Callithrix jacchus: one gene and its partner. The protein of the gene in region 1 purifies or fractionates together with the protein of each later gene. This does not show direct contact. Links are inferred from orthologs where the notes say so. Each region holds a gene or a part of one and is shown on either strand. Other genes may lie near its edges.

Evidence for each region. The genes of interacting proteins can lie anywhere in the genome.
Region 2: the proteins of USP36 (region 1) and DHX33 purify together in Homo sapiens (affinity purification with mass spectrometry; 5 studies listed by BioGRID and IntAct, counting the BioPlex papers as one, with this or other methods). This does not show direct contact. The link is inferred for Callithrix jacchus from reciprocal best matches to the Homo sapiens genes USP36 and DHX33.

What each region holds. Positions count from the first base shown.
Region 1 is NC_133506.1:134,554,001-134,564,557, reverse strand, and holds the end of USP36 (ubiquitin carboxyl-terminal hydrolase 36), read left to right. Parts: intron 1-237; coding exon 238-831; intron 832-993; coding exon of another isoform or gene 994-1,015; exon of another isoform or gene 1,016-1,209; intron 1,210-1,709; coding exon 1,710-1,924; intron 1,925-2,015; exon of another isoform or gene 2,016-2,068; intron 2,069-2,753; exon of another isoform or gene 2,754-3,217; intron 3,218-4,993; coding exon 4,994-5,095; intron 5,096-5,695; coding exon 5,696-5,811; intron 5,812-6,190; coding exon 6,191-6,322; 3' UTR 6,323-6,341; intron 6,342-6,899; 3' UTR 6,900-9,112; downstream 9,113-10,557. UniProt on the Homo sapiens protein: Deubiquitinase essential for the regulation of nucleolar structure and function. Required for cell and organism viability.
Region 2 is NC_133506.1:106,976,360-106,986,916, forward strand, and holds part of DHX33 (ATP-dependent RNA helicase DHX33), read right to left. Parts: intron 9,490-10,557; coding exon 9,330-9,489; intron 9,180-9,329; coding exon 9,091-9,179; intron 6,033-9,090; coding exon 5,905-6,032; intron 5,201-5,904; coding exon 4,997-5,200; intron 3,213-4,996; coding exon 3,126-3,212; intron 1-3,125. UniProt on the Homo sapiens protein: Implicated in nucleolar organization, ribosome biogenesis, protein synthesis and cytoplasmic dsRNA sensing. Stimulates RNA polymerase I transcription of the 47S precursor rRNA.

The DNA of each region.
Region 1 (10,557 bases):
TGCAGGTTTGCTATAGAGGTGCCATCCACCACCTAGGTAACTGCTTTTAAACAGATGGTGAATTAATTGTTAGCCTTCTTTCAGATGTATGTGTAACTTAATGTGTATCCGAAACCTACAAGGCAAAAGCCTTTACAGGTTTCTAGGTGAAAGGGAGGGGAGTGAGGGTGGACAGAAGGAACAGCTCTGCTGGATCTTTCAGAACATCCCCTCCCTCTTTCCTGGCTGTCCCCACAGGGCTGTGTCACCTGCTCCCCAATCATCCAGCTGCCTGCAGCCCCCCTTTAGCCCCCACCCCACATTGCTGTCCAGTACCCCCAAACCCCCAGGGACGTCAGAACCACGGAGCGGCTCCTCCATCTCGACGGCCCTGCCTCAGGTCAATGGGGACCTCGTGTCCCTTCCACACCAGCTGCCAGAGGCCAGCGAGCCCCCCTGGAGCCCCTCTGAGAAGAGGAAAAAGACCCTTGTGGGAGAGTTCCAGAGGCCGGGCTCAGAGACGTGCCTCTCACAGCATATCAAGGAGGCCACTGCATCTTCCCACCGGAAGAGGAAGAGGAAGAAGAGGAAGCACCCAGAGGACACAGCTGCCACCACCCTGCAGGAGGGGCAGACACACAGACAGTCTGGGAGCCCCACGCACAGGAGGGAGGGCCAGGCACAGCTGCCCGCTGTCAGATGGCAGGAAGATGGCACACGGCCACAGGTGGACCACCAGCAGGTGGCATGTGTTCCCGACAGCCACCACCCAAGCAGCAGGAAGCGGAGGAGGAAGGGAGCAGAGGGTCTTGGTGAAGAAGGCGGCCTGCACCAGGACCCACCTTGGCACAGGTAAGGGCAGGAGCAAGGTGGCACCTGTGCACCTCTGCTGAGAAACAAAGCAGAACCACAAAATCTACCCCCACGTAGGTATGGTCTGGAAATGTAGTTCACTTATCTGCTCATGTGATTTTCTAAAAGGTGGATATATGATAAAATGTCTTCTCTGGCCAGGTGCAGTGGCTTACATCTGTAATCCTAACACTTTGGGAGGCTGAAGCGGGCGAATCCCTTGAACCCAGGAGTTTGAGACCTGCTTGGGCAACATGGCAAAGCCCTGTCTCTACCAAAAACAATAATTGGTTGGTCATGGTGGCATGTGCCTGTCGTCCCAGCTACTCAGGAGGCGGAGGTGGGAGAATGGCTTGAGCCCAGGAGGCGGAGGTTGCAGTGAGTTGAGATTGCATCACTACACTACAGCCTGGGTGACAGCCAGACTCTGTCTCAAAAAAAAAAAAAAAAAATCTCCTCTGATAAATACCAGTGGATTGGTCCTTGAAATGACAGTGGTGTGGACAGTAGTGTCCATCATTGTATGAGCAGGGCTGTCCACGAATACTGGGTTAGGTGATCCCTGGCCGGGGTAGGCTCTGCAGTCATATCAGGTCCCAGGCAGCCTGCACATTGGCTTTGGCAGGCTTGGCTCAGTTAGGATGGGAAATGTGGCTGTGTGTAGAGCATCCGCTAATGCGTGTAGAAGAATGTTACAGGGAGCCCTGTGCACTGGGTCACAGCTGAGGTGGCATCTTCTCCATGCTGCCGGCAGGTGTCTGTGAGCTCCCTGGGTCACAGCTGGGATGGCGACCTCTCCATCCTGCAGGTGGGGTGGGTGTAAGCTCCTGCTTCCCTTCCAACTTGCTCAGAGCTGACTGTTGCCTCTCACTTCCCAGCAGCTGCTCTCGCATGGGTGACGGTGACCCAGAGGCCATGGAAGAGTCTCCAAGGAAAAAGAAAAAGAAAAAAAGAAAGCAGGAGCCACAGCAGGCAGTAGAAGAGGACAGACATTGCGAAGACCCGAGGAGTGCCAAGTCCCAAGACGTTGCTGTCCCTGAGTCCAGCAGCCATGCGCCGTCTGTGAATGGCTGGTGTCCTGGGGACCACATGGGTATGCATTTGGGCGAGGGGGGGTGTTGGTGAGCTTACAGGCTGAGAGCAGTACCTACTGTGTTTGAGCTTGGGGGAGGGTCTGGGAGAAGATGTGGAGGATCCTGCCAACCTTCAGCCACAACCCCCGAGTCTGTTCCCTTGGGTGATGGGGTCAAAGCTTCCTTACATGTCAAAGCATTTGACTGAAACGACCCATGGGAGAGGTTACAGTGCACATGAACTTTAGAACATTCTGTGACTACCGTGGGTCTTCCGATTCAAAGCTGTTCCTGTCTACAGCTTCCCATGGAATGACTCCCTGAACTCCCAGCCTGAGTTTTTTTCTGTGACGCTTGAATTTAGAAGGGTGGGGTTCAAAAGTTAATTCTCCTCTACCTCTATGTAGTTGGGCCTTTCAGAACATAGCATGGTGCTCTTGGTGTTGGGGACCTGTGTGCTGTGGCTGTGCTTGGGCACCACCCCCAGCTGGAGGGTCTTTTGTTTTCTTTAGGACTTGGTCGGGCATGCCTTGGCAGGCACCCACCACAGAACACATTTGTTAAGTGAAGGGTAGAGAACGTCCTGGCGGCTTGGTATGGGGGAACGAGCTTGAGTGAGGCCTCCTCTGTGGTCTGGAAGATCCGATTATGGCAGTGCATCTGGGGGCCAACAGAACCCTGAATCAGGAGACTGATTTGTATTAATCCAACTCTTAAGAAAGGAATTTATCGATAAAAATGAAATGGTATGGAATAGATTGTGGAACACGGGCGCGAGCTGGCGCCGACTGTGGTGCTGGCCAGCATGCTGTCAGAAGCGTTGCACTGAGGCGACGGGTGGGGGTAAAGAAGAGGCAGGCCTTCAAGTGACAGCGACACAAGATGGCAGCCACCACAGGCTCGGACAGTTTATGAAAACCAAATATACAGCCTTAAAATAGAATGTGGCCTTAAATACCAAGAAGCACCCCCCTTTGTAAGATTTGTAACAAAAATTAATACGAATGGAGTTAATAGTTCTAATGGAGTGGTGGACCCAAGAGTCATATCAGTGCTAGCAAAATGGCAGAATTCATATAGCATCAATATTGTCCTACAAGAGCTTCAGCGCCTAATGATGTCTAAAGAAAATACGAAATTCCCTCAGCTGCCTGAAGGTCAGTGTTACAGCAATTAATCAAAAAGAAAAACCACAGGCCTTCCCCCCCCCCCATTAGATTTAAGCAGTCATTTTCCACAGTAGTAAATTTTCTAGGTACACCTTGTAGACCTCAAAGTACTGGAAAGGAAGCTCTCATTCAAAGGACACTTTTTTTGAGACGGAGTTTCGCTCTTGTTACCCAGGCTGGAGTGCAATGGTGTGATCTTGGCTCACCGCAACCTCCGCCTCTGGGGTTCAGGCAATTCTCCTGCTTCAGCCTTCCGAGTAGCTGGGATTACAGGCGTGCGCCACCACGACCAGCTAATTTTTTATATTTTTAGTAGAGATGGGGTTTCACCTTGTTGACCAGGATGGTCTTGATCTCTTGACCTCATGATCCACCCACCTCAGCCTCCCGAAGTACTGGGATTACAGGCTTGAGCCACCGTGCCTGACAAGGAAATTTATCTCAAGATACTGTAAATGATACTAACTTCTTGTCCTTTTGAAATACGTAACTTGTGCTATAACAAAAGAAAACGTTGCACCAATATTGTGCCTGAGCTGTGCTCTGTGCTGCCCTCGCAGCAAAGCGGAGTTGGCTTGTTAGTGCAGGAATTTGAGGGACATCACTTGAGCACTTGCGGTATGCCCGGGTCCATGCCGGGTGCATGCCAGGTGCTGGCTGTACATCCTGAGCAGTGCTCCCTGGGCCCTCAGGACTCCCTGCCAGAGGCAGAACCGCACAGTGATGGTTCATGCTCAGCAGGCAGGCACTGGGGGCTGCATGGGCTCTGTGGGAGAGTGCCTGGCCCCATCCACCCTCTGTACTGTGCACCAAGGAGAGTGGCTAAATGGGCAGGGTACCAGCCCCAAAGGCAGGAGGCGCAGCACGTTGGCACCAGGCACACTGCTCTGCGTGGCCAGGTCCCTGAACTGTGTGGACAAGAGGGAGCCATGGATGCTGTTGTGCCAGGGCAGAGGACACTTAGTCTGGAGGTGATTGAGAATTGGAGGCAGGGAGAGGCGAGGTCATTAGCTTCCTGCTAACAGGCAGGGCTCTTGCAAGCTCTCTGGAGATGCACTCTTCACAACAACCCCTTCACACAGCACCCTGCAGGTCATTTGTATGAAGGAAGGTGAGTTTATTCCAGGGGCTTTGTGGCTGGCTGGGCAGAGGACTAGTTCAGAAACGGTCTCTACAACCCATTGAGGGTGCTGAGTGCTGTCCTTGTCCCGACGTGCATGGTGGACCTGCACAGCATTGCTGATGGGGACTAGGTTCCCCCTGGACAGGGCTCAGGTCGGGGTCCCCATGGCAGCAGCCAAGCTTGGCCGTTCCCTTCATCTCTGTGGCCATTCAGGTGTCGGGCTGGTCCTGGGGCCCAGGGCCTCTCCCTTAGGTGAAGTGGAGTCCATTTGGATCTGGTTTTCTTCCCTCCCTCTGACAGACTGAGAACTTACACTGCTGGTTAAGGAGGGTTTGGAGGGTTTTTTTGCTTCCAAGCTTTTTGTTATTTTGCATGTTTTCTTTTTCATGAATTGACTTGGACAACAGCCTTCTCTGTTTCATCAGAACTTTAGTAAATAAGCATTTAGGCTGGGCACCTAATGCACACTCACTCACACCTGTGTCTGCCTGGTAGTTCTGACCTGGGATGGCAAGGTGTCGGCGGTTAGCCAGGATGCTATTGAAGAGAGCAGACTGGCCCGGACCCAGACCGTGGTTGACGACTGGGACAACGAGGCAGAACATGGCTCATGCCTATAATCCCAGCACTTTGGGAGGCCAGTGCAGGAGAATCACTTGAGTCCTCAGGAGTTTGAAACCAGCCTGGGCAACATAGTGAGACCCTATCTTAGAAGAAGGAAAAAAGAGATAAGCGGTTGTTTCCCTGGTGGGTTATTTTCAATGTTGATAAATGTTTCTTGGCTGCTCTGATTGCAGGGCTGGACCCAGCCCCTCCTGTGTCTTGGAATGGAGAGCAAGAGTCTGATGTGGTACAGGAACTGCTCAAATACTCATCGGATAAAGCTTACGGGAGAAAAGGTACTGGCTTTGAGACAGCACTTGTTGGCCCTTGATTGGTTTATTCTGGATGAGGGAAGGTGTGGAATGGACCCTAGTGTACTGTGAGTGTGGAGGGCGGGCATCACTTGAGAGTAGGAAGAAGAACCTCAGCGCTTGCTGGAATCCTCTTTAAACCCTCAGCTGTGACATGAAGGTGGCTTCCATCCGTGCAGGATTCAGAACAGCTGCTTCTGAGGGTTGGGCAGGGTGAGGAGCCCAACACATGCTGGTCTTGGGTAGGACACGGGCAGAGTGGCAAAGCTCTTCCAATGTAGGCAGTGTCGCTTCTTACTTGGAGCAGGATTTTATTCAGACTTCAAGGCAGAACATGAAATCCTTGTTCCTCAGACGAGGTCATGGGTTTAGAGAGAACTGAACTGTGCGGTCATGGGTTAGGGTTTAGCTGAGAGGGTATCCAGCTGTCCTCCTCTTGTCCTTCTGTTCGCCACAAGATGGCGCTCAAAATTGTTGACTGACTGTGAGTATAGACTAGTCTTGTTGGTAAATGACACTCTTGAAGTGAAGCCACAGGGTACCTACGAACCTGCACGCTCGCTCACACCTGTGTCTGCCTGGTAGTTCTGACCTGGGATGGCAAGGTGTCGGCGGTTAGCCAGGATGCTATTGAAGAGAGCAGACTGGCCCGGACCCATACCGTGATTGACAACTGGGACGAAGAGTTTGACAGAGGGAAGGTATGATGCTTAATGGTGCCCACAGGCCTGAGGCAGCAGGGTGGCGTGTCTCAGCTTAGGGCCGGGGCAGGGAACTGCATGTGACCAGGGCAGTTGGAGGTGGCAGCAGCGGTGTGAAGCAGCTGAGCATAAGAGCCAGGCTGCCCAGGCCTGTCTGGGCGGGTGGCCGTGGACAGGGCATACATCCTCGCAGCTTCTGCAGCTTTGTCAGTAGAGGGGGACAGCAGGGTGCCGTGCGAAGGGGTAGTTGTGAAGAGTGGGTCTCCAGAGAGCTCTCGAGAGCCCTGCCTGTTCGCAGGAAGCTGGTGAACTGCATGGAGCCCCATGAGCCAGGAAAGAACCTTTTTGGGAACTGTGATACCTGTGATTCTTGGTCTAGGAAAAGAAAATTAAAAAATATAAGAGAGAGAAGAGGAGAAACTTCAATGCCTTCCAGAAACTTCAGACTCGACGGAACTTTTGGTCCGTGACTCACCCAGCAAAGGCTGCCAGTCTCAGCTACCGCCGCTGACAGCACCGCTGTGGAAGAGGTCGGTTCCTAGGGGGTGGGCATGAGGGTGGGGGGGCCATGTGGGGGGGTTTGTGTGTATGTGGGGGGGGGTTGTGTATAGAGGGTGTGGTGGGGTGTGTCGTGTGTGTGTTTGTGTGTGATGTATGTGGGCTGTGTATCTGGCACGTGTATGTTAGGTGGTGTGTATCTGATGTAGGTGCATCTGTGGTATGTGTCCTAGTCACTTGGAGAAAAGTGTGTGTGGGATATATGTGTATAAGGGGGTGCCTGTAGTGTGTGCGCATTTGTGGTGTGTGTCCTGGTCACTTGCAGAAGGGTGTGTGGGTTGTGTGTGCAATATGTGTGAGATATGCGGTGTGTGTATATCTGGCGTGTGTCCCCTCACTTGCCAAAGGGTGTGTAGAATGTGGGGTGTGTATATCTGGCATGTCCTGGTCACTTGGAAGAAAGGTGTGTGGGGTTTGCCGGCTGCATCGAGGTGCTGTGCCTTGGGTTCCTGGGTTGGACCCACACCGAGGGTGGCCATGGGAAGATGTCCTGTTTCTCACCGTCAGGACTGCTATGCTTTGTTCTGCAGCCTCCTGGAGACAAGGCGTCCCTTCCTGGAACCTGTCCATGTGGACCTGAGGGAGCCTTCTGTGTGGGCTCTGCTGCCATGGTAGGAGCTCTCCCAGTATCAGTGTCCACAGACGACCCGATGTAGAGCCTTTGAGGCTTCTCTAGATTGGGACCTCTGGTGACATTTCCAACCAGTCCTGCAAGAGAAGCTCCAGTGTGTGGGGGGAGCAGAGGTGGCCGTACGCCTGCTAGACATCTGCGTCGGGCTGCGTGATCTCATGTTCATGGACGGTGTCTGTGCTGACAGAGGCTCCTGTCCCTAGTTGGGGCTATCGAGAGAGTGGGGGATGATGGCCACTCGTCTCCCAGGTGGCCTCCCGGTGCGTGGCTGGTTGCTCTTGGTGAGCCGTTCCTTGCTCCTTGGGGCTGGCGATACCGTTGTGTCTGAGCCTGCCCTCCCTGCTTCCTTGGTGGGGCCCCTTTGTCTTTTGGCCTTACCTGTCCTTAGAAAGGAAGAGCCCTGAGGCCAACCCCAGCCAGCCACCTCTCCCTTTTATGGAACTCAAGAGGGTGACGCTGCTGTGCAGCCCTTCCTTGTGAGTAACTCTTGACTGTCCTGCAGAGCAGAGGCTGTCTGGGGTCCGGGGAGCCCTTGATATTACCTGCAAATACATCTGCTTTCAAGGCCACTGTCGATTCTGAGACGGCTGTGCTGTGGCTTCCTTCGCAGATGCAATAACCCACAGGTCTTCACTGAGGTGGGGGCCTTGGGGGAGAATTCTCCATTTATTTTACTACTTAATACAAAACATTTATTTTTGACCAGGCCCGTGGCTTCCATTAGCAATATATTTCCTTTCCCAGATATGCAAATAGTGGCTTTGTTTGCCCAATTTTGTGAGTGCTTTGGAATTTAAATGATTGTATAACTCAAGAAGATTACTTTTCTATCTTGCTCAAGCTGTGCCTGCCAACTTGTAATTAAATAAATATGGGAAATCCTCAGAGAAGGGGATGTTTTCAAGAAAAAGATGCCCTCATAGGAGTGGGAAGCGTGAAGGTGACAATGAACACCCTTCCTTGCCGGGTCTCTCCCTGGCGTTTTCCCCCGGCGTCATCGCAGCTGGAGATGGACTTGGCGTTGGACTCAGAGCTGCTTCGGTGTGGCTCTGCGGGGCCGGAGGCGTCCTGCCGTCTGGGGGGCTGCCTCGCTGTCTGCATCCCCTCTTCCTGGGGCAGGTTTGCTTCCTGCCTCCGTGCTTGAGACCTGGGTGGTTACTGGTTGTAGAAAGAATTGCCTTTTTAATAAGGGAAGATACATTTATTTTTTCCATGTGGGTGGGTGGCTCTTTTTGGATTTTCTTCCGCTTTTTACATTTCTGTTTTTAGAAAGGTGGGAGAGAATCATGCTCCTGTGTGGCTGCCTCTGTCCCAGCAGCAGCGAGTGGAGGCTTGCCCTGACCGGGTCAGGGTGTCCTCTGCGCTCTCCTGTGGACCAGTCTCTGAATGTTCAAAGATGAGGGCCTGGCTTCCACGCTCTGGCTTTTGTAACTTACCTGGGAGGGAAAGCACGTGCCTTCGTGGGCAGGGTGTGTTCCTCTTCCTCTCAGGTGTTGACTTGCATTCCAATGTGAACTGTTTCCTCTGCCATGTGTTCTGTGTGATGTTCTGTAGTTGAAAATTAGTTGTCTGCTAGCACAGAATCTATCTCCTGCCTTTCTCTCCCTTCTCTCCTCCAAATCAGTCTCTTCCCTTCTCCACTAGAAACTGTAAAACCATTTCCTGAGGAACATACGTTGGTTAACTCTTGGGCAGTGGTGAGCACGAGATGACTTCTGCAGCCTTTATCACTGTTGGATGCAGTCCCGTCCCTTCCCTCCACAGGAGCCATCAGCCAGATGGGGGGGAAAGATGAGGCCCAGTAAACGAGCTCAGCTTCTAGGTGATGTGCACGTATGGAGGTAGATGTCAGTAAGTCACGCCTTTGTCGTAGCAGTCAACTTGATTGACTTAGGATCTGGGTCTATTGAGTTTCGTGCTTGGAAATGGAGCCGGAGGGAGTGGGGCCTGTGCACAGCGCTGCCTCTCCCGGGTCCTTTCTCTCACCTGCCCCGCATCCTGGTTGCATGGCTGCACCTGTCTGTGTGCTGCACCTCCTCTCCAGGGGCCTGGGGAGTCCCACATGTTGCCAAGATCTTGGTGCAATAAAATCCTGTGTTTTTGTGAGTCCTGTATCTTTGTTTTTTCCCTTGATTTTTAAAAAGGTAACTCCCAACCAGGGTCTCGCTGATTCCACCTGTTCTGGAAGTTGAAGTTGGGCTAGGAGGGGCAGGTAGGTCCCCGCACAGAGTCCAGTGACCAGGAGGTTACATTTGGTGAGAGCAGCCCTGGTGAATGGGGTGACCAGGAGACTGAACCTTGGGCACAGGTGGGTGGTGGTGCAGGGGGTCCAGTCATGAATGCTCTCCTCAGCTCTGTGACTTGTGTGTGTGGCTCGTTACCTCCTCCTCCTCGAGCAACTTGGAAACCTCCACCCCAGGGTGTCCACCAGAGGATGTCATGTCTTCACTTCTCCCTAGGGGTTTGGCTGGACACCCCAAAATGAGGACAACCAAGTAAGAAGATGGGAGGTAAGGCAGCTCTTGGACCCAAACCAAAGGGGTTGCAGAGGGTGGGGCACACTGTTGACCCAGAGGTCTTGTCTGAAGGCATTTGCATCATAGCCTGGGCAGCGGTTGAGGGGTTCTGAGACTCGGAGAGGTGGTGACCTGACACCAGTGCCGGGCACAGTGGTGACACGGGCGAGACTGGTTTTTCCATTCTGTTTTGGTTTGAGACAAAGTCTTGCTCTATCACCCAGGCTGGAGTGCAGTGGCACGATCTCAGCTCACTGCAACCTCCACCTTCCAGGTTCAAGCTATTCTTCTGCCTCAGCCTCCTGCATAGCTGTCATTACAGGTGTACACCACCATGCCCAACCAATTTTTGTATTTTTAGTGGAGATGGTTTCACCATGTTGGCCAGCCTGGTCTCAATCTCCTGACATAGCGGTCCGTCAGTTTTTCCATTCTTAACTGCTGTTTCCCACATACTAGGGCTGCTTCTGGGTGTGTAAAGGTGAACACACTGATGTGGTCTCACAGGCGGCGGGCAGGTCCACGGGCAGGACTGACGGCTCCAGGGCAGGGCGGGTGCTGTTAGGGAGATACAGGGAGGCCACGAGGATCCTGTGACGAGTTCTGCCTGAAGCACCATGGGGTGAGGTGACATTCAGAAAGAGGGTTGGATGTGGGAGCTGGCTAGCGGGACTCGGCTGGTAACTAAGTCAGGTGCAAAAGTGCAGGGCAGATTTTGGTTGACAAGAAGCGTCTGCCATTTGTCTGATGTGCTTTCTAGACTCCTGAGGCTGAAAGTGGATTCCAGGCTGCCTGATGGCCTGACAGGCTGCAAGTAGAGCTCAGGGGACAGCGGGTGAGGATGACCAGACCACCAGGCTGGCCAAGAAGTGGCCGAGGCTGGAGCTAAGAGATTGACAATAGTAGCAGAGGCTAGAAGTGGGGTCAGTTGGGTATTTGGGAGAAGAGGCGAGGTGACAGATATATGGTGGAAGGTTCTGGGTGGAGTTTAAGATGATTTCTGCTAGGGTGGGCAGTTGAGTTCAGAGGCCAAGTAGTAGA
Region 2 (10,557 bases), about 28 Mb from region 1:
TAGTCTCCCAAGTAGCTGAGATTACAGGCATCTGCCACCATGCCCAGCTAATTTTTGTATTTTTAGTAGAAGCAGGGTTTCACCATGTTGGCCAGCTGGTCTTGAACTCCTGACCTTTAGTAATCTTCCCACCTTGGCCTCCCAAAGTGCTGGGATTATAGGCGTGAGCCTCTGTGCCTGGCCTCACTGCTCTTCTTTAGACACTCCATGATCCCCCATAGTTGGTGCCTTCTCTTTCCTAGCCCTGTTTTGTGATTCCTATCTCTGTGCCTTCACATTTGCTGCTCTTAGTAGAAACGCTGCCTTTGACTCATCAGGGGAAATGTCAGTCACCAGTCAATGTCCTTGCTCTACCGCTCTTGATGAGTAAGTCATGTAATCTTATGTCCCTGGGCACAGATGAGCAGACCAGTTGTGCATACTCTCTTGACCTAAGCTGGCCAGCTTCTCTCTTCTAGGCATCTTTTAGATATGAAACTGGAAACCTGTCAGTCAACTAGGCTCTTAAGTAGAGAGGCCAAGCACAGCAATCACTTGCATGTGGGGAGGTAAAGGTGAGAAGACAAAGGAGACTCGTCGAGGGTACCCAAAGTGAGAGAACCAGCAGGTCCAGAGAAAGCAGCTGCCCTGGCTCGTGCAGGCTTTTTCTAGTTCTTGTGACTCTATTTACTGCCTACAGGTTCTCAGAGATACCTTTTCATCCTTGGAAAAATCTTTCTTTGTCCTTTATGATGGCTGAGGGGTTTTTGTTGCTGACAATCAGCTGATCTATGCCTGAAGAAGATATGATTTTTTTTTTAAGAGACAGGGTCTCGCTCTGTTGCTCAGGCTGGAGTGCAATGGCAAAATGTCAGTTCACTGCAACCTCTGCCTCCCGTGTTCAGGAGATTCTTGTGCCTCAGCCTCCTGAGTAGCTGGGATTACAGGCATGTACCACTATGCCCAGCTTATTTTTTTTATTTTTAGCAGAGATAAGGTTTCCTCCTGTTGGCCAGGCTGGTCTGGAACTCCTGACCTCGTGATCCACCCACTTCCCAAAGTGCTGGGGATTACAGGCCTGAGCCACCATAACCAGCTGGAAGATACTCTTATCTCTTATCTGTCAAGATTTAGCTCAGTTGTCACTGCCTCCAGGAAGCCTCAAAGGCTAACTGGTGGTCTCTCCTTTCAGACTATCAGCTTTACCATTGCTGGCTGAGTGATTTCGGCAAATTATTTAACCCGATTAGGCTCAGTTTCATCATTTGTAAAATGATGTAACAGAATTAATTTTAATGAGGATTTTATCCTTTGGGTCAAGGTCTGAGTTAAAAAAGAAATGAGGAGTTTAAATAAGGGAATCACATATAAAGTATTCAGAACAGTGCCTGAACAAATGCCTCATAAATGACAGTGATTAATTATGACTGCCTCCTGGCAGGGGTCTATGTATTCAGGTCACTGTCTAGATTACCACTTAGTTACTGCGGAGGCAGGAGTGTAAAGTCTCAGGACCTTGACCAGTGCCTGGCATATAATGAGAGGTATCCCCAGCCACTACAGAGTCCTCAATTCAGAAATAGAGAAGTACCATTTCTTCTATTAATAAAAAATTGAGAAAACTTATGAAGCCAAGAGACAGACTGGCAGGAAACTCTTCAAATACAAAAGCAGTTTAAACAAATGTGTAAAAGACAGAACACAACAGGCTACTAAGAGGAAAAACAGCTCTATTGCTAACTATAGGCCGCTGGCATCAGACACAGGCCTGGGTTCCGGCTGTGACTGTCTCCCAGGAGCGTCTGTACTGAGGGGCACAAGACAGAGTTGCTTATGACGGCAAAACCATGGGCACTGTCTCCATGATCAACAGCAAAAGAACACTTGAACTACCCTCTGCCTCTGACATAAAATGTATTATACAAGCATTAATTTATACCATGACAGGTCTTTAAAGCATCATGTATTCTAAGAGGGAATAAAAAGCTAATATAAAACTTTGCGGTGGACACTTTGGCAACATCTAACAAAATCTAAATTCCCCCATTGAGAAATTCATTCTGTGTGCACCACAGCACATATGGAAGAGGATGGTCATTATAATAGAACCAAAATGACATTAGAGGCTTAAATAAATTGCAGTGAATACAATGAAATGCTATGAAGTCACCAAAACGAATGAGACAGACACATGCAGCACTGAAAGCCCAGCCACAGGAAGTGTTCAAGAAATATGTCGCGTGAGGCTGGGTGCTGTGGCTCATGCCTGGAATCCCAGCACTTTGCGAGGCCAAGGCAGGAGGATCGCCTGAGGTCAGGAGTTTGAGACCAGCCTGGCCAACATGGTGAAACCCCATCTCTATTAAAGATACAAAAATTAGCCAGGCGTGGTGGCGCATATCTGCAATCCCAGCTACTCGGGAGGCTGAGGAAGGAGAACTGCTTTTCACTGGGAGGCAGAGGTTGCAGTGAGCCAAGATCGTGCCTCTGCACTCCAGCCTGGAGTGCAGGCTATTATTGTGACTCCATCACAAATAATAAAAAGAAAAAAAGAAATGTGTCACGCGGAAAAAAGCAAGTTGTGGAACATGTACATCATATACACATATCCATGTGTTTGTGTAGTCACACACAGGCACACACACATATGCACAAAAACATACAAACAGAAACAAATTCTAGAAGGATCTGCCTCAAACTGTTAACAGCAGTTATCTCTGGAGGAGCAGGATTATGGGAGACTTTTAAACTCTCTACATTATAAATTACTATTTTCTGCATTGTGTCAGTATTTAACAACTAAGCACTGCTTTTGTAATCTCAAAGAAAATAATGGCGATATTCCCACTAAAAAAAATTCTTATAAAGAATTCTAACTCTGGAAAATGCTTATGAAGATTATAAAACCAAATATAAATTATACATATCATGTAATTTACTATGTAAAAACATGCAATAAAAAACAGGCTATCAGGAAACAGACTAAACTACTGAGATGTGGAATTGTGGGTAACTTTTTTCCTTCTTTGTGAAATTTTCTACAATGAGAATTCCTTTTATAATCACTAGCAATAAGCACTTTAAAAATTCTACCTTGAACAAAGTGACAGCTATGTCACCCAAAGAACACTAGGAACAGATAATACCTTTAAGCAGATGTCCCTCAGCTGTGCTCGGACTTCAGTTACCAGCATCATATTCTTGCTGTTGACAAAATTCTCTTTGCACCAATCCTGAATAGGAGAAAGGGTGATAGTACAACCCATTCATTCACTATTTATTTGTTTATAGAGCTAGCATCTTGCTCTGTTGCCTAGACTAGAGTGCAGTGATACAATCTTACCTCACTGCAAACCCATCTTCCCACCTCAGCCTCCCAAACAACTTGAACTATCTGCAGCCACAACCATGCCCAGCCAACAATCCTCTCATCTCTATGGAGAGAACATAATGACGTTTTTAGAACACAGTTGAATTCAGAGGAAAAACTTCAGGTGCCAAAAAAGGAATGTAGGAAAATATCTTTATATCAAAAAACATGAATTATAAGGAAAAGTATTAATTTAAACTAAAGAAAAACTTCAAGTTTCCCAGATTGGAATATTTGTATCATCATATCCAATGAAAGATTAGAATCTCCAGAATAGATCTTTTTTTTTTTTTTAAGAGACAGGGTTTCACCATCTGGTCTCGAACTCTTCACCAAGCTGGTCTCAAACTCCTGACCTCAGGTGATCTACCCACCTCGGCCTCCCAAAGTGCTAGGATTACAGGTGTGAGCCACCACACCTGGTGAGAATAAATCTTAAAAGCTCTACAAGTCATTAAGAAAAAGATCAACAACCCAGTAGAAAAATAGACAAAGGATATGAACAGACACAGAAAAGGAAATATAAATGCCCAATCAATTTATATAAGGCTTCTTTTTCCCTCCCTTCCCCTCCTTCCTTCCTTTTTTTTTTTTGAGTTGGAGATTCACTCTTGTTGCCCAGGCTGGAATGCAATGGCACGATCTCAACTCACCTCCGCCTTCTGGGTTCAAGTGATTCTCCTGCCTCAGCCTCGAAAGTAGCTGGGATTACAGGCATGCAACACCATGCCCAGCTAATTTTTGTATTTTTAGTAGAGATGGGGTTTCTCTATGTTGGTCAGGCTGGTCTTGAACTTCCGACCTCAGGTGATCCGCCTGCCTCGGCCTCCCACAGTGTTGGGATTACAGGCGTTAGCCATCATGCCCATAATCATCTTTTTTCTTTTTTTGGAGACAGAGTCTCACTCTGTCACCTAGGCTGGAGTGGCAAGGTTTCAGCTCATTGCAACCTCTGCCTCCCAGGTTCAAATGATTCTCGTGCCTCAGCCTCCTGAGTAGCTAGAATTACAGGTGTGTACAACCATGCCTGGCTAAATTTTGTATTTTTAGTAGACATGGGGTTTTGCCATGTTGGCCACGCTGGTCTGGAACTCCTGGGCTCAAGTGATCCACCTGCCTTGGCCTCCCAAAGTGCTGGGATTACAAGCTTGAGAAACTGCCTGGCCCTGGGCAAGTTTTTCAACTACACAAAGCTTCATTTCCATGACTATATGTTTCATGAATATAAAAACTAGTAACAGTGCTCATTTCTTAGGATTATTATACTAAATGAGATAATACATTAAAAAGTGCTTCGCATGGGGCTTGGCACAGAATAAGCACTCATTAATTGGTATGCACTCTCATTATTAGACATATTTACTTTATTAAGCTCCAATTAAATTTTGATGGGTTGGGAGTCACTTAAGTCTTGCTGAATTAAACACATTCAAAACAAAGACCGGAATGACACATCTTCCTTGGTAATTGCCCAGTATTCAGACATTTCTAAAATGATGTCTGGCTTTCGTTTTGTGATTCTTTAGATAATTCAGCTAAAAAGGGAAAACGTAGTATGTATACGCCTTCAGTACAAAAAGGGAATCACATACCAGCGAAGAAGGGAAAGCAGCTGTCACTGGAGAAAAGGAACAAGACAAGGCTCACCTTATTTCCACCTATGTTTTTGAAGGTCCGATAGATGTTGAGCAGGGTAAAGTGATCCCCTTCACTGGATGTGAACTTCTTCCGGACCCCTTGTACTTCATCCCGCCGGGAAGGAGGGTTGTGGAGGATGCTGTCCACAGACAGCAGGGAGACAATGGTTAGGATCTCCTCTGTACAGTGGAATTTGGGGGACAGAAGGATGGTCTGCAAACCAAAATTTAAAATTGTGTAAACTTTCTCCCAGCTTTAGAATACACTATCTCTGCATATTGCTTTTGCAGGTTCCTTTCTAAGGAGTTAAAGGGCAGGTATTTCTGAAACCATGGCTATGTACATTAGTGTTATTTTACTCTTTAATATGAAATAAAACAGATGACTGCCTTCCCTACAGAGTTCCAAATATTTTTCCTTTTTTTCTGAGAGCCTTGATCTGTCACCCAACTTGGAGTGCGGTGGCATGATCTCGGCTCACTGCAACCACCACCTCCCGGGTTCAAGTGATTCTCCTGCCTCAGCCTCCTGAGTAGCTGGGATTACAGGTGCGTGCTACTGCGCCTGGCTAATTTTTTTGTAATTTTTAGTAGAGATGGGGTTTCACCATCTTGGCCAGGCTGGTCTTGAACTCCTGACCTCGTGATCCACCCGCCTCAGCTACCCAAAGAGCTGGGATTATAGGCATGAGCTACTGTGCCTGGCCCAGAGTTCCAAATTTCTTATGGGTAGGACTCTTGACTTGGTATCATTGAATCCCACACTGAACATATATCAGGGTTATATGCAAACTAGGGGTTGGTAATTATTTAAGAGAAAAAGTGAGATTAATCTAGAAGCACTGGGTTAATGGTTCTACTTTGGGATGGCTAACCTGTAATGTACAGAAAGGGGACTGAGGAGAGGGTATCATTTACTTTGGCAAATTTGGGTTCTAAAGGAAATGCTGCCATCTTTCTTCCAATTGGAGTCAGGGTAAGCTGGTCATCCTTATGTTCAAGAGCACCTAACAGGTCCAGTTGGGCAATGGCCGCCTGAATGTGATCTAAAGAAACAGAGACATAAAAAGGAGCCGAAAATCCAGAAAGGATAAAGTTGCAGCTAGTTCAGTATTTCTGGGAGCTTTTGATAACTCTACATCAAACAATAGCAAAACTTGCAACCACCACTACCCCCCGATGCACGTGTTGAAGAATGACATCACTGTCTTCAGTTCAATTCCCTTTTCTTTTTTTGAGACAGAGTCTTGCTCTGTAGCCCAGGCTGAAGTACAATGGGGTGATCCTGGCTCATTGCAGCCTCCACCTCCCAGGTTCCAGCGATTCTCTTGCCTCAGCCTCCTGTGTAGCTGGGACCACTGGCGCACACTACCACGCCTGGGTAATTTTTGTATTTTTAGTAGAAACAGGGTTTCACCATGTTGGCCGGGCTGGTCTTGAACTCTGGACCCCAGGGTATCTGCCTGCCTCAGCCTTCCAGTGTTAGGATTACAGGCGTAAGCCACCATGCCCTTTTTAAGTGACCTGTAATTTGGCGATATGTATGTAGAGTTTGAATATATACATCCATTGACCCATCAGTGTTACACTTATGAGTTTCACCTGTAGATTTACTCATACATTGCACAGAGACCATATTGCCAGAACCAAACACAAAACAATGGAAATACCAGTTGTGTCAGAGGCCAGCTGGGAGGCTGGGAGACAAGAAGGTGAGAAGGACATTATTACTATTTACTATTTTATATTTTTTAAACTTTGAACCTTGTATATATATTATCTATTAGAGAATAAAAAAGCATTTTTAAAGATGTAGTAAATATATATATCCCAATAAGGAATGATCTGTAAAGTGTATTAAATGAAAAAAAGCAATGTGCTTTTCACTGTTTTTTTAAAGCAATTTTGTCAATAGGAGGATGGATAAATGCATTTTCGTTTATTCACAGAATGGAATAGCACTTAGTGTGTAAAAGCATCAACACAAACTGTACAGAACATACTGAGTGAAAACAGCTTAATAAGGAATGAATTACATAAACTTACAACCTGAAACAACAGGTGGTTTAGGGATACATATGCATATAGTAAAATAAAGAAAAGCAAGGCAATTACAAACACGATGTGGGGGAGTGGTTACCCCAAGGGAGTGAAAGGAGGTGAGGGCAGCCAGGGAGGGGTCCTCAGGGCTTCGACTGGGTATACAGGTGTTGGATTTTAATCATTCCTTACCCCTCTGTATCTTATTCTTTTGTTTGTCAGGATTTAGCAATGAAAAAAAAATCAAGCATGGAACAGTGCTCAATGTGTGTTGCTATTTGTGTTTTAAAACATACTACATGCTGAACATGGTGGCTCATGACTGTAATCCCAGCCCTTGGGAGGCTGAAGCGGGAGGACCACCTGATGTCAGGAGTTCAAGACCAGCCTGGCCAACGTGGTGAAACCCTGTCTCTATTAAAAAATACAAAAATTAGCCAGGTGTGGCAGTGCACACCTGTAGTCCCAGCTACTTGGGAGGCTGAGGCAGGAGAATCACTTGAATCCAGTAGGTGGAGACTGCAGTGAGCTGGGATGGCACCACTGCACTCCAGCCTGGGCGACAGAGTGACGACACTCTGTCTCAAAAAAAAAAAAAAACCAGAGAAACAAAACAAAAACATACTACAGGGTGGCTTGGTGGCTCACACCTGTAGTCCCAGCTACTCGGGAAGCTGATGTGGGAGGTTGAGGCTGCAGTGAGCCAAGAAGGAGCCATTGCACTCTAGCCTGGAAAACCAGAGTGAAACCCTGTCTCAAAAATAAATAAATTAAACACACTACATATACTCACATATGCATACATTGCTCTAGAAGTCTACTAAAAAATGGTTCCAGTGGTTGTTCTAGGGGAAAAAACTATGAACCTGAGGATCAGGGCAGGACCCTTGTATACCCATCAATGGGTTACTTCGTGTTTTTCCTTTCTCCCAGCCTCCCCTCCCTTGCTCCCCTCCCCTCCCGCTCCCCTTCCCCTTCCTTCCTTCCCTTCCTTCCTCCTTCCCTCCGTCCGCTCCCCCCTCTCCCCCCACTTCCCCTTTCCCTTCCCTTCCTCTCTGTTTTTATTTTTGTCACCCAGGCTGAAGTGCAGTTGTGCCATCTCGGCTCACTGCAACCTCCACATCCCAGGTTCAAGCAATTATCCTGCTTCAGCCTCCTGAGTAGCTGGGACTACAGGCCCCCACCACCCTGCCTGGCTAATTTTTGTATTTTTGTAGAGATGAAGTTTCATCCTGGGGTTCAAACATGGGGTTTCATGTTGGCCAGGCTGGTCTTGAACCCCTGAGATCAGGAGTTCCTCCTTTGGGAGGCTGAGGTGGGTGGATCACCTCAGCCTTCCAAAGTGCTGGGATTATAGATAGGTGTGAGCCACTGCACCTGGCCTCCTTTTTCTTTTTAAACCAATTGCATTTCTTAAGAAAAGGGTGGGGGTGGGAGGAAAAGGAAAATGATGCACTGATGAGAGGCCAGGTACCAAAGCTACTCTCATAAAGAATTCCAGTTATTTTCTTCCTCTATAGAGAAATTACTAATGAACAGAAGAGACTGATCAAATTCCAGTGAAAAGCAAAGAAATGTGATCTCTGCAGTCCCTGTGCTGATAAAAGTACAATTTCATTAAATTTCTGCAGTACCCCAAGAACTCACATGATGACCTTCACTTGTTCTAGAGGTCAAGGAACCTTATGGATGGTGCTGATAGTACAGAATCTATAATTTCACAGCTAGGAGCATTGACACATGCCTGTGGCCCCAGCTACTTGGGAGGCTGAGGTGGTAGGATCACTGGAGCCCAGGAGTTGGAGGCTGTAGTGCACTATGATGGAACCTGTGAATAGACACTGTACTCCCACCTGGGCCACACAGTGAGACCCTGTCTCTTTAAAGTCAATCAACTTATCTATCTACGATTTCATGATTTTAAGATGCTTCTCAAATAGTTAATGTTGTTATCCACAAAATTAAATAAACAAAAGGGGATGACCAAAATATTTTATTTTTGGACACGTCCATTTGTTGTTTTTCTCTTCACCCACCTTCTGCAAAACTGTGGATTTCACTTACCTGGAGATGGCTTGGACATGAAGTCAAAGGTGAGCACATTTGGGACTTTCATTGCTAGAAGCTGAAGCATGACACTGGCCAGGTTACACCTGTGAAGAGCGTGAGACCAGGGTCATGACCTGATCCCTCTACCAGTGAGTCAGAACCACTCGACAAGGAGTGTGAGTAAAAGCGGCAGCTCTGGGCAAGCGGGAGAGACATGGGGACAAACAGCAGCAGTGCAGGAGCCTAGTGCCTACCTCTGGATCTCTGGCACAGTCATCTTATCAAACTTCTCAAACTCCTCCTCCGTGTAGAGCCGGTAACAAATGCCACTGTCCTCTCGGCCAGCCCTCCCTGTGCGCTGCCAGGCCTGGGTCTTCGATACCCGCTGCACTGCTAACACCTCAAGACCACTGTCTGGATGGAGAGTGAGCCCCATTAGTGCTTTATCACATGAACAAACTCTTTCTAGTGTTGAAAAAAGTACACCCGTGGTTCTTTCAGCAACACTGGGGTTCAGAAAATCTCAACACTAGCACATTGGATAGCGCAAAACCAGGTTGCTCCGCAGTGGTTTGGCCCTAGTGAAATAAGGCTTTGCAAAAAGCCCGGTGTGAAATCTGTTCCAAACACATCAGAAAAACCTCATGCATGCAGCAAGGGGCCAGAAGCATAGTTTCCGAGGTCTTGGCTTAGATGGCAGGATGGCCAACCCCTCCAGTTTGCTTGGGACAGAGGGTTTCCTGGGATGTGGGATTTGGGGTGCTAAAACCGGGACAGTTCCAACAAACTAGGATGGTGGTCATAGATCATACTATCAGTGACTCAGAAATTAAATGTCTCAAATCACTTGTGTGCTTTATCCTCCCTCCCAGTTCTGTTTTAAGATGGAAATACTGTGATGTCTGTTTTCCAGCAGTAAATGAGGTTCATTTCCTTGATAAAGGTGTATTCTGTGCCAGGCAATGGAGACTCAAGCTCTTTCATCTATGTCATCTCAAAAAGACACATGAGTGAAGTCAGGACCCTCGAATGTTTACTACAGCATTTCAGTTCAATAACTGGGAACAACAAATGCAGTGGCCTTAAATCCTCTGTGGAATTAAGCAAAGTATAAAACAGATACAAGTAAAGATGACCTTAAGTTAGCTTTCCACTGCACCTTCTCAGGAGAAGCCAGTGCTTCACCTTCCATGCCTCACCCCAGCCGGCGGGTCTGATTCCTTCCTGGGAAACCTGGGAGATCAAACCAGCCATATATATACTTTCTGATGAGAGCCTTCGATTGTTACCCAGCTGTCCCTGGTCTTACAGCAACTTCTGATAGGGTACCAGACCCTCTGCCCAGGTCCCTGACCCTGTCTTCCCACATAAGCTAAACCTGGGTTCTTTTCTGCCTCTACTTCCTGTCTCACATACCTGCCTCAGGACTCCTTTGTGGACTCAGATTGTAGATTATCTCACCCGTGGTGCCTGCCACCCGAA